Arabidopsis thaliana: one gene and its partners. The protein of the gene in region 2 interacts with the protein of the main gene of each other region in a pairwise test. Each region holds a gene or a part of one and is shown on either strand. Other genes may lie near its edges.

Evidence for each region.
Region 1: the proteins of IAA19 (region 2) and TPL interact in a two-hybrid assay, tested with the Arabidopsis thaliana proteins (3 studies listed by BioGRID).
Region 3: the proteins of IAA19 (region 2) and NPH4 interact in binary tests that used the Arabidopsis thaliana proteins (3 or more experiments, as listed by UniProt).

Annotation. Positions count from the first base shown.
Region 1 is NC_003070.9:5,419,434-5,423,189, reverse strand, and holds the start of TPL (Transducin family protein / WD-40 repeat family protein), read left to right. Parts: upstream 1-2,156; 5' UTR 2,157-2,353; exon of another isoform or gene 2,354-2,616; 5' UTR 2,617-2,651; exon of another isoform or gene 2,652-2,758; 5' UTR 2,759-2,830; coding exon 2,831-2,910; intron 2,911-3,010; coding exon 3,011-3,190; intron 3,191-3,294; coding exon 3,295-3,408; intron 3,409-3,519; coding exon 3,520-3,678; intron 3,679-3,756. UniProt on the Arabidopsis thaliana protein: Transcriptional corepressor. May repress the expression of root-promoting genes in the top half of the embryo to allow proper differentiation of the shoot pole during the transition stage of embryogenesis. Regulates the expression of PLT1 and PLT2.
Region 2 is NC_003074.8:5,261,958-5,265,713, forward strand, and holds IAA19 (indole-3-acetic acid inducible 19), read left to right. Parts: upstream 1-2,043; 5' UTR 2,044-2,142; coding exon 2,143-2,551; intron 2,552-3,144; coding exon 3,145-3,238; intron 3,239-3,330; coding exon 3,331-3,421; 3' UTR 3,422-3,738; downstream 3,739-3,756. UniProt on the Arabidopsis thaliana protein: Aux/IAA proteins are short-lived transcriptional factors that function as repressors of early auxin response genes at low auxin concentrations.
Region 3 is NC_003076.8:7,020,488-7,024,243, forward strand, and holds the start of NPH4 (Transcriptional factor B3 family protein / auxin-responsive factor AUX/IAA-like protein), read right to left. Parts: upstream 1,627-3,756; 5' UTR 1,018-1,626; coding exon 972-1,017; intron 652-971; coding exon 539-651; intron 439-538; coding exon 343-438; intron 239-342; coding exon 182-238; intron 94-181; coding exon 1-93. UniProt on the Arabidopsis thaliana protein: Auxin response factors (ARFs) are transcriptional factors that bind specifically to the DNA sequence 5'-TGTCTC-3' found in the auxin-responsive promoter elements (AuxREs).

The DNA of each region.
Region 1 (3,756 bases), on a different chromosome or scaffold from region 2:
AAGAAAAAAATTGCAACCACCATCTATCCCTCAATGCTCAATTCTAACTCCTTTATTTATTTATTTATTGTGATGCTATAGTTTGTTTCTTCTTCTTTCCATTAAATAAGTCAGATTTTATTTTCTCTTAATTAATACAGTAAGTTTTAAATTATGTTTTAGTTATAAGATATGAATTAAACACATAGCATTATTTTCTTTAATACGAGCAAATTCTCCGAAATTTGTAAAATACATAGAATTTTTCTATCAAAAATAAAAGTAAGAGTGTAGATTTGTATTTGATGGGATTTTTATTCTAACTGTGATATCTATATGACAAAATCTCTATTATTCTAACTTTTTTCTTTTTCTTGATATCATTCTAACTTAATCATTAGACTACAATCAATTTGTTTAGAATATATTTGTGTTGCGCTCATAACGATTCTTTTCAATATATATTGTTTGATTAAAGCTTTTAACAAAGTACAGTTTGCTTTCTAAATTATTTTTAACACGTATCCAGTTTTTTAAAAATATATAAAAATATATTCTTCACACCTATCATTTTTTATAAATAAAATATTTTTAACATTTAAAGATATATAAGATATTTCTAATAGTATAATTTATTTTTAATACTTATCATGTTTCTTAAATGGTTTGAACGCTTCGTTTCATTAGTTTATCCAACCTACCTCAGTTATGATATTACACTTTAGTAAAATAAAAAAAAACTGGTTATAAACTTAAAATATTATGCTTTGCTCGTATTAAAGAATTTCAGTACTTGTATATCGTTTTTTTAATTATTATTATGATTTATGACCTCGCGATTCGTGATGGTTAGTAGTAGACTAGTCGTAGTGGACAACTACTGTAAGAAAAAAAACTAAAAATAGATAGACACACACGCTAAATTAAATAAATCGTAAATCACGATTACATATTTATGTTTGTACTTGAAAATGTTATCGCTTTACGTGTGGTGATGGTGAGACAACAGTGTTTGTGTTTGGACGGGATAGATGTCAAATTACTCAAACGTGCGACTCTAAATTACACAAACTCTCATTTATTGCCCATCCTCCATCGATATCTTCACCCCTCTAATATATTTTAAAAATGTTATTTATAACTTCAACAATACACATTCGGTTTCATTTACAATTAATCCTTGCGTTATTATTACTTCTAAGCTATAGTATCTTGTACTTCCTTCCCCTGCTATTATTTAAACGGAAAGAATCCAGCTAATTCCGATCCACCTGCTCCTAGTAGCAATCTATCTATAAACAAACAAAACTAAAGTATAAATTATCACGAACATCTTAACAATAATAGTCAATGCAAGTGGTTCTTGTGTATACAAAGAATTAATAGGAACTACTATCCACATCCTTACGTTTACATTTTTCACAACCAATCATGCACTAAATTAACCTCTAATGAAAAAGTTAAAAATAAAGAATAATATTATCAAAGAATAATGATAATGTTCAGCAACATGTTGGACCAAGAAATGTTCAAACAATACTATAATATTGAAATATTTAGTAGTATTAGTTTTGTTCTTGTTTTTTTTATATGAGGAACATCAGCCATATCGTATAAATCGTGATAAACCGAGTTTATAAATCATATTTCGTATCTCGCCGAGAAGAAAGACGACGTAGCATCTTTACGAGTTGAACATTTCTCCATCACGTGATGTTCGATGAGTTAACGCATCTCAAGAGCAATTGGCTCTTCAATGTCATATCCGTAAATATTAGTCAAACTTGAGGGCAATGACTCAATATAAAAAGCTTTGTCGTGCCACGAGGGATCTGGAGACAAGTCTGACACATTGAATGAAACTCTAGCCGTTAGATCTCCGTCCTCCGCGCCATCTGACAAAATCGACGGTTTTCCAGATAGGTGTAAAACTCATCGCGAAGGAGTGGATCACACCTCTGTGGAGTACAGCTGGCAACTAATATTCCGAGCCGATAACGTCGAGAAATGTAGCCGATCAAGTCGTAGTTATAAGCAGTTCTACTTATCATTCCTGCTTATCGCAGTTAGCTTTTCTTAGAGTGATAGCTAACTTATTTTATCAGCATCCAATTATCTGTCACCTTCTCTTATTAAAATCTCCATTTCTGCAAGTTTTAATGTCCGTATATATATCTCGAAGAGAGAGAAAATCCCTTTTTCTCTAGATAGAGAGAGAGAGAGAGAGAGAGAAGAAGAAGCTTTTTAATTTAGTTTTGCTTTCTTTCAAGTTTCCTTTTTTCGATAGAGAGAAAAAGAGTCCAAAAATCAATCCATCACCTCTTTCGTCTCTGTGGTCTTCTTCTTCTTCTTCATCGATCTCTCTCTCTTTATGGTGAGTAAGCTTCACGCTTCTTTCTTCTACCTTTGTTGCCTCTGTTAATGGAATCTAGCTGTTTCGAGTTTTATTGTATATATTTTTTTATCCTTTTGCCCAAACTTTTTTCTGGGTTTTGCTTTATTTTTTCATCCCCCTTTCTGATAATTAATTTGCTTTTTTCATGTAGTAAAAAAAGATTCTTTTTTTAAGCTATTAAATTCACATCTTCCAATTCCAGGAAGACCTAAATTTCCTCTTTTTTTTGCCGTTATCTGCAGAGATGCGAAGTTTCTGGATAATTATTCAGATATAGGTTCCAAGTTTTTAGCTTTCATTTCTAACTTCTCTTTTCGTGTTTTTTAATTTCCATAATCTGGAAACTCAGATTTGAGCTCATTTCGGCCATTGTTTATATTGCAGATCTGGTGATAGTTTGGTTAGTTGTTGTGCATCTGAGTTAGAAAAAAGTCTTTTAAGGAAGTGAGAGAAAACATGTCTTCTCTTAGTAGAGAGCTCGTTTTCTTGATCTTACAGTTTCTCGATGAAGAGAAGTTTAAAGAGACTGTTCACAAGTATGTCTCTTTTGCTCTGTAGATTTCCTTGGATCTAATTTACCAACTGACCTGTTTAGCTCTTGTGTTGGTTAATGCATTATTGCTTTGTCATGTTCAGGCTTGAACAAGAATCTGGGTTTTTCTTCAATATGAAGTATTTTGAGGATGAGGTTCACAATGGAAATTGGGATGAGGTTGAGAAGTATCTCTCTGGTTTCACTAAAGTAGATGATAATAGATACTCTATGAAGATATTCTTCGAGATAAGAAAGCAGAAGTATCTCGAGGCTTTGGATAAGTAAGTCATGGTTGGGGATTTGTTTTTTTTTTTTCCTTTCAGTGAGATAGCAAAAGAAAAAGAGTCTGATTTGTGATTGACCTTGGTGACTTTTTTGTTGGTAGGCATGATCGTCCCAAGGCTGTGGATATACTAGTGAAGGATTTGAAAGTGTTTTCAACTTTTAATGAGGAGCTTTTCAAGGAAATAACACAGCTCTTGACATTGGAGAACTTCCGGTAATGTTATATTGGATTAATGTAGTGTCCAAAGCCTTTGTTTTCTTAGCCGTAGTTCAAAAGAAAGATTGATGCAGAGTATTAAGTGTTTCGAGTTTGATCAACTTTTAGGGAGAATGAACAGTTATCCAAGTATGGGGACACCAAGTCTGCAAGAGCGATCATGTTGGTGGAACTCAAAAAGCTGATTGAGGCGAATCCTTTATTCCGTGATAAATTGCAGTTCCCTACTCTTAGAAATTCAAGGCTGAGGACTTTGATCAACCAGAGGTTTATTGCTTTGTCCCTTAATCTTTTTGTCTTATTCACTTCAAGTTGTTGTTGGCATATTAATTCATTCTATCTTTT
Region 2 (3,756 bases):
TTCATTGATTCTTTTTGAAAGATACGTATTGTGAATAATGTATAAAGGATTTAGAACATAATTATGATCCTTGAGACTTGTAATATTTTATTAACTAACCGAAAACATAAGCAAGAGAATCGTGGATAACGACCTAACGTATAAGAAACATGAGACATGTCACAATCACTTTAAAAGTTTTCCTATCAAAACTCGAGTAGAAGCACATGAAATTTCTGGATATTAAAAATAAATAAATCAAAATAGCCTTATATTATTGCTGTCAGGAAATAATTCTATTTAGACTACCTGAATTTCCAGTTGAACGGCGTTTTTCCAAATTGCAAGCATCATATATTATGCTCATCGTATCATTAGTGCATAAATAAACTATGGACCAATTTCATGGTGAAAAAGGGGCTTCGGATGAAATTTTTGATCAAATTATATTTGTTTATTGATAAAACAAACGTTTTTTTTAAAGGATGACAGTTGTGCGTTTGAGATGAAAACCAAACACTGCTCCCACTCAAAATTTGTAAAAATGGAATTTATAAATATTTGGTGCTACAAATGTCGTTTGGTAGCCTTTGGAAACATTAAAGGTAAACTAGAGATATGGGAGTATGGAACTTAATCTCTTTATGTGGTTGTATTTCATATAATTTCACGTGGCCCAACTTGTTTCTGTCAATCCATTGATCAAAGTTGGTAGACAAGAGTGAACCCACACACACTCACACACATACACACGGTCGATCTTTTTTTCTATTCTCGTGTCCCTACGTCCTCTAAACCCCATCATTATACTTCTTGTGTTTTATTGGTATGCTGAGCTAGAGATAGTTAACAACTACCCAACAATGCGGGTCTGGCTTAGTTTGAACCTATTCGAAACTAGTTATACTCCGCTTGAAGTCATTGGTTCGAGACTAACTTTGGAGATGAGTATCATAAACAGCTCTAACTTAAGATTACAATACATCCTCTTGTTAGTCTAAGTTGAGAGGTGTTGCCATTGACTATATATTTCTTTGGGAATTTGGTTTACCAGGATGTTGCAAAGAAGATTTAAATAGTTATAAATTAGTACAAATTCAATCCATATGATATGATATTCAAAAAACAAAAAAAAAAAAAAACTGATCTAAAAGTCGAACCAAATTCTAATTTGATTAGAGCATGTATATAATTGAATCCCTAAGTAAAATTCAACCCAATACTTGAGAAGGTAGTTATATTCTTATAAATTATGGATATGATTTGATTAAAACTCAAACCTGAACCCAAAACATACTAGAATATACGTTTTTACTTTGTAACTATTTGTCACATTCCAAAACTAAACTCGGTACTATATTTGATTCTGATCCATACAAATTTTGTATATCTGGTTTATATTCTCCATGTGAGATTAAAGCGGTGACCAATCAAAATCATTGCTGGAATATCTTACTATTAAGCTAAATGTTGTTAGTTATATACAAGCCAATCCAAAAAAACTGATGCAAAGAGAGATAAACGAACATATCCCAAAATGGTAGGATTTGATTTAATATTCCCATCCTCTTATTAGAAATGCAAACAAATAGACTATAGTTTTATTTATTTATTTTCACTATAAAATAACTAAATAACATGAACTTATTGAAGAAAAAGTATACTATAGTTGTGATTCTGTGATATACTAGTTAGAACAAGAATCTTTACAAAAAAAAAACACATGGGATGTTAGGAGAAGGAGATTCGGATTCCAATGATCCAACGGTCAGAGAAAAATCAGAAGAAAATTTCACAACCGTAGGATCTGTTCCCTTAACCACCTTGTAATGCCGGTCTTTATTAATTTTGAGAAAAAAATAAAAACAGCACCAAACTTATGTCTCTCATGTGACCGACCACCGCATCCTCAGTTGACCTGTCTCTGCCCCCACTTTGTCTCCCCACACAAACTGAATAACAAGAAGAAGAAGACTTTAGATATCAAATGACTCCACGTGTCGATATTGGATTGGTTTTCATTGGTTGTATCGTGTGGACCAACGAAGCAACATATAAAAAGCACGACGCGGTGCCATTACTACAATAAGAGAAGTGTAGGAGAAGAAAGTTCTCATTTCATAATTGTATCAAATTGTGAGAGGAAAAAAAGAAGTTCAAGAAATGGAGAAGGAAGGACTCGGGCTTGAGATAACGGAGCTGAGATTGGGGCTTCCGGGGAGAGATGTGGCAGAGAAGATGATGAAGAAGAGAGCTTTCACGGAGATGAATATGACGTCGTCGGGTAGTAATAGTGATCAATGTGAAAGCGGCGTCGTTTCATCTGGTGGTGACGCTGAGAAGGTTAATGATTCGCCGGCGGCGAAAAGCCAGGTGGTGGGGTGGCCACCGGTTTGTTCTTACCGGAAGAAAAACAGCTGTAAGGAAGCTTCGACCACGAAAGTGGGGTTAGGGTATGTGAAAGTGAGCATGGATGGTGTGCCTTATTTGAGGAAGATGGATCTTGGTTCGAGCCAAGGCTATGATGATCTAGCCTTTGCTCTTGATAAGCTCTTCGGTTTCCGTGGCATCGGTTAGTAACAATTATGTTCTCTTCCCATAAAAGTAGAGTGGTAATTAGATCATGTGGAAAACAACTAATTATATATAGTTTACAAGACGTCCGATTAAGAACTTAGAGTGTTGTAGTCTTGTAGACGTAATGGAGTAGTATAGTTTAGTGCTGTTCTTTCTTTTTATGTCTACAACCAAACCAACACCCCAATTTATGATACAATGACAACACTAATACAAATATAGTTAGAATTTTGGTTAGCAGTTGAACTGATTGTGGTAGCAATGTTATAGATTTTAATTTAAAGTGTTATGAAAGGACAAATATGTCGAGATTTTTATTAGTCATCTCAGGAAATTTATTTACTTGTTCTTAGAGACTTAAGACTAGTCCTAATTTAACTGGTTATTTTTCTCCAAACTGTTTTGAATTATCTGAAAATTATCTATCATAGAAAATTAGAGGTTTCGGTTACTACATATCCGTAATTTCTAAAAATCAGAATTTATGCACCACTTGTATAGTTGTATTGTTAATTAGACTTTTCTATATACCGAATTCGCCATATTATCAACACAATTTTAAATTTACATATATACATATTTGTGCAGGTGTGGCCTTGAAAGATGGTGACAACTGCGAATACGTTACCATATACGAAGACAAAGATGGAGACTGGATGCTCGCCGGTGATGTACCTTGGGGGTATGTTCTATCTTTTGACTTAAGATATCTCACTACAAAAAGAAAATGTATCACAAACTAAAGTAAATGAGTTTGGATATTTTGATTTGCAGGATGTTTCTAGAGTCATGCAAGAGGTTGAGAATAATGAAAAGATCGGATGCTACCGGGTTTGGGCTGCAGCCTAGAGGAGTAGACGAGTGATGATGACTTGAACAAGAAGCAAGGAGCTGGTTCATTAATTTAATCTTAAACTTGATCATCAAGATCCTTTAGAACATTTTTCCTATTCATGTTATATAAATATATATGTTATAGTATATTATTTTGCAACAAAATTTCATGTTATGGTTTTGCATAATTATCTTCAGAAAGACAGCTATATATATATACACTACTTGTTTCTTGAGTGTTGAGTTAAAACATTAATCTGTTTCAAAATTTATTGTTATTTCGGATCTATATATGTGTGTAGAAACATATGTAATAAGTATCCATTATTTCATCTTTTTAAAAAATAATAATTATTATTTGAATCT
Region 3 (3,756 bases), on a different chromosome or scaffold from region 2:
GTCACTCGCCGTGAGGGTTTTGCAGAAAAATTCATTAGGTTGTCTGTTTAGCTTAAGACCCATGTCAGAAGCAAGCAATGCATCTCTGTCATACTGTTCAACAAAATGCTCAGAGCAATTAGTCCCTCCCTACTCCTTAAATACACCTATAAATCGAGTTATTCAGTGAAAGGTAAGCTACTTTGTTTACTGGCTGAAGAGTCATCTGCGCATAGACCTCATCCGTCTCAGGATCAGCCTGGTTCACAGTCGACAATTAGCAAAACATTAGCAACTCAAAAGCAAAAAATGTTAAAACAACTAGCCTAAGAGGCCATTATAGATATTTAAAAGATACCATACATTCAGTGTAACATTGTGGAGCATGCATATGAGCTTGGAAGGAAGATTCGGGTAACTTGGTATGAAATCAGTCTGCTTCTGCATTGAAGCCGCGACCTAAGAAACAGAAAAATAAATAGCAACCACATGAAATTTCCAATCAGCGACTCATTCTTGATCAGCCGCGAATGATACCAAACTTTATTGAACAACATACTTGCTCACTGTGACCTTGAGGGAAGTAAACAACAAGACTTCCTGCTGGAGGCAACGAAATCAATGGCCCAGCACAAGCGTGCCATAGCTCTGAGTTTATATTTCTCCTTTCTCCTGCATTCACACAACATCAAAGCTGTGATTACTTAAAATCTCTAGGATCTTCATTCAGTTACTATTATCAAACCAACAAGATAGGAGAGAACTGCTCTAAACCAACTAAAAGCCACAGTCTTTATAAACCAATACAATAGTAACTTAGCTTACTCTCTAAGCAGAAAATGACCGAAACCAATTCAATTCAGGTTCTCAAATCCAGCAATTCTGAAGAAATGTGTGACCTCTTCTACTTAAAACTTGAATCTATTCAAATCCAGCAATGAATTTCTTCTACTAAAGGATTGACATTTATCAGATACGAGAAACACACAAACCTTCAACAGGATTAGGAGAAACTCCATTTGATGAAGGAGCTTTCATGATCACTCAACTTTACTTTCTCTGAAGAATAAACCCAATAAATAATCTGAATCTGAGCTTATACAAAGCTAAGCTCTTTGCGTGAGAGCTTCATCAAAAGCCCTAAACTTTCACTCAAGTTGTTAATAGCTTCCTAGCTCAAGTAACAGCAGAGAGAATCGTTAATCAGAAATGGGGAACTCCAAGATCTCAGCTTTTTATCTCCGACAGAGCCGCCAATTTCTCGGAAATTTTAAGTATCTCAAAGAGATCAAAAACCACGACTTTTCACACGCGGAATCTCCGGAGAGACAAACAAAGCATACGACCTTAAAAAAGATTCCGTTTTTAACGAAGCTCTTTATCTCGAGTCAGATAATTCAAAAACACCCACAAAGTTACTTGATTCAGCTGCTCTTCTTTGTTTTGCTTTCCTTTCTTGGGGGGAATCAAATCAAAGAGACGGGTTTCTATAAAAAGAAATCTGGAAAATGAATCGAAAGAGAAAAACAAAACTTAAGGATGACCAAGGACAATCGAAGATTAAGACTCAAACGTGAGAGAAAGAGCAACAGAGTTGTCGGAAAGGGATGATCAGCGACCAGGACAACTACCAAAAGGTCTGCTAAAGCACAGGAACAGCTTTTTCTTCTTCCTCTCCTTTTTTTTTCCTTCTCTTTTCTTTTTCCGATATTTTTATTTTTTTATACCTATTTAGTTATGCTCATGAAGCCGACATATTCACTAGCAAACTGGCCACGATTTAATTTCTTAATGTTATTATTGTCCTCTAAAATTTTAACTTTGACACACAAAAAAACAACTTTATTAGTGTTTTCTTTTTCCTTATCTCTGATAATTTGATAAGTTTTTTTCATTAAGGTTATTATTACTGTATCATTTATTGTAATACTTGATTAGGGATAACATAGATTTATAGGGGATGTATTGAAAAAAACAAACTAAGCTGACTAGCTAGTTATTTGATCAAAGTGCGTACATATATGTTTGGCAATTTCTTTTGTAGTTAACTATATTTAATTCAGATAGATTTTAGGATTCATAATTCATCAAAAAATTTTATGATTTTCATTATTTTGAACAAAAGCATTTTACTAGAAATTTTGTGGAGTTTTACATGGTTGGTTCTGAGTTTCATAAACTAGCGTTCATGTTTTAAACGAGAATGGAACTTAAATGTTTAGTAATGAGTTCTATAATAACAAACAAATCTAAATTCGCTTAGATCATCATTATAAACAATTGATCTTATTTTGTTGTAAATGTTGATTAATTGATCAAATCTAAGTACATACAGCATATGCGATCACAAAGAACAATATTTTAACGGACGATTTCATATCAAAAATGATAGAAGTTCTCTCTTTGTTCATGATTCTTTATTGGTTTCTTATATTAATTAACCTAAACTTTTGTCTTTTGGAAGAAGTGTTATAATGTCACACAAAATAAAATTACATATGATGATCACAACTTACACTCTTTTCCCAGTACAGCCATCATTCAAAATTTTCCTCTATAATCGTTAAAATGTCTACCCAAAAAAAAACGGTGATATATATTCCTAAACATATTGGAAAACCGAATATAACCATAAATATGTCATTGTACAAACTACAATCTATTTGGTTTAAGGCCACATAACAAGTTTTATCTACCAAAGACTGAACCTCCATATTCATCACAGACCATTGTAAAATGCATGTAAACCCTTTGAATGACCCCACATCAAAAAAGAAAGTTACAAAACAGTAACCTCTTTGTTAGTTTAGGTTCGATCCAAAACTTATTTGGCAGGAATGCTTAAAATTCTATATACTTACAACTTTAAGTGAAGGTAATATATATGTATGGAATGAATGGATGTCAATTCAAATAAGTGGCAGTGAGTAGCGACATGATGTCCCTGAGCAATAAATGCGTGAAGACAGAAGTTTGGAGATTGGATGAATGTAAGAAGGCCTTTTGAAGTTATGGATTTCGACGCCTAGCTTTTTTTTTTCTTTTTTTTTTGTGAAACTTTGAGGCCTAGCTAACGTTTAAAAAAAGAAAAAGAAAAATGTTAATAGTTTTCTTATTACAAAGTGACCGAAATTTAGTATGAACTCCGAACTACGACTTCATGCATGTATTAAAGTTGGAATGAAAGGAAGAAGAGCGTGACGCATTTCAGAACCGGTTGTGTGTCCGTATGGTGTCCGCAGTGGAAAGTGGAAAATGAACAAGATGAATAACTCATATACTGTCCTAAAGATATTTCCAGAATCACATCAACGTATTTTAGCCGATTTAATGAATTCGACAGTTGGTGTTGACAATATATGTAAATGTAACCACAAAATACACCACTTGAGTTGGATGAATTATCAGAGAGAGACGAGGAAGTTTCGTTACGATTCCATGATTTTCTCGACTTTACTATGTCATTCTGATATGCATTATTTGTTAATTTGTATGTAAGAGAGAGTTGTGGAAAATAATCTACGTACTGATTAATTTTTTGCGTTTTAAGTGATTTTAGATTTCCGCTAAACATAAACTTTTCTAGCATAATTTTTGTAAAACGCTAAACATAATTTTTTAACATAAATTTTGTAAAACGCTAAATATAGAGAAACGTTACTTTGCTTTAGGAGATTTTCTCGTTACTTTTATGTTTAGTGGTTTACAAATGTTATACTATGGTTAACAAATCTCGAATATTATTTTTAATAATAGTTACAAAAATTTTGCTATTCT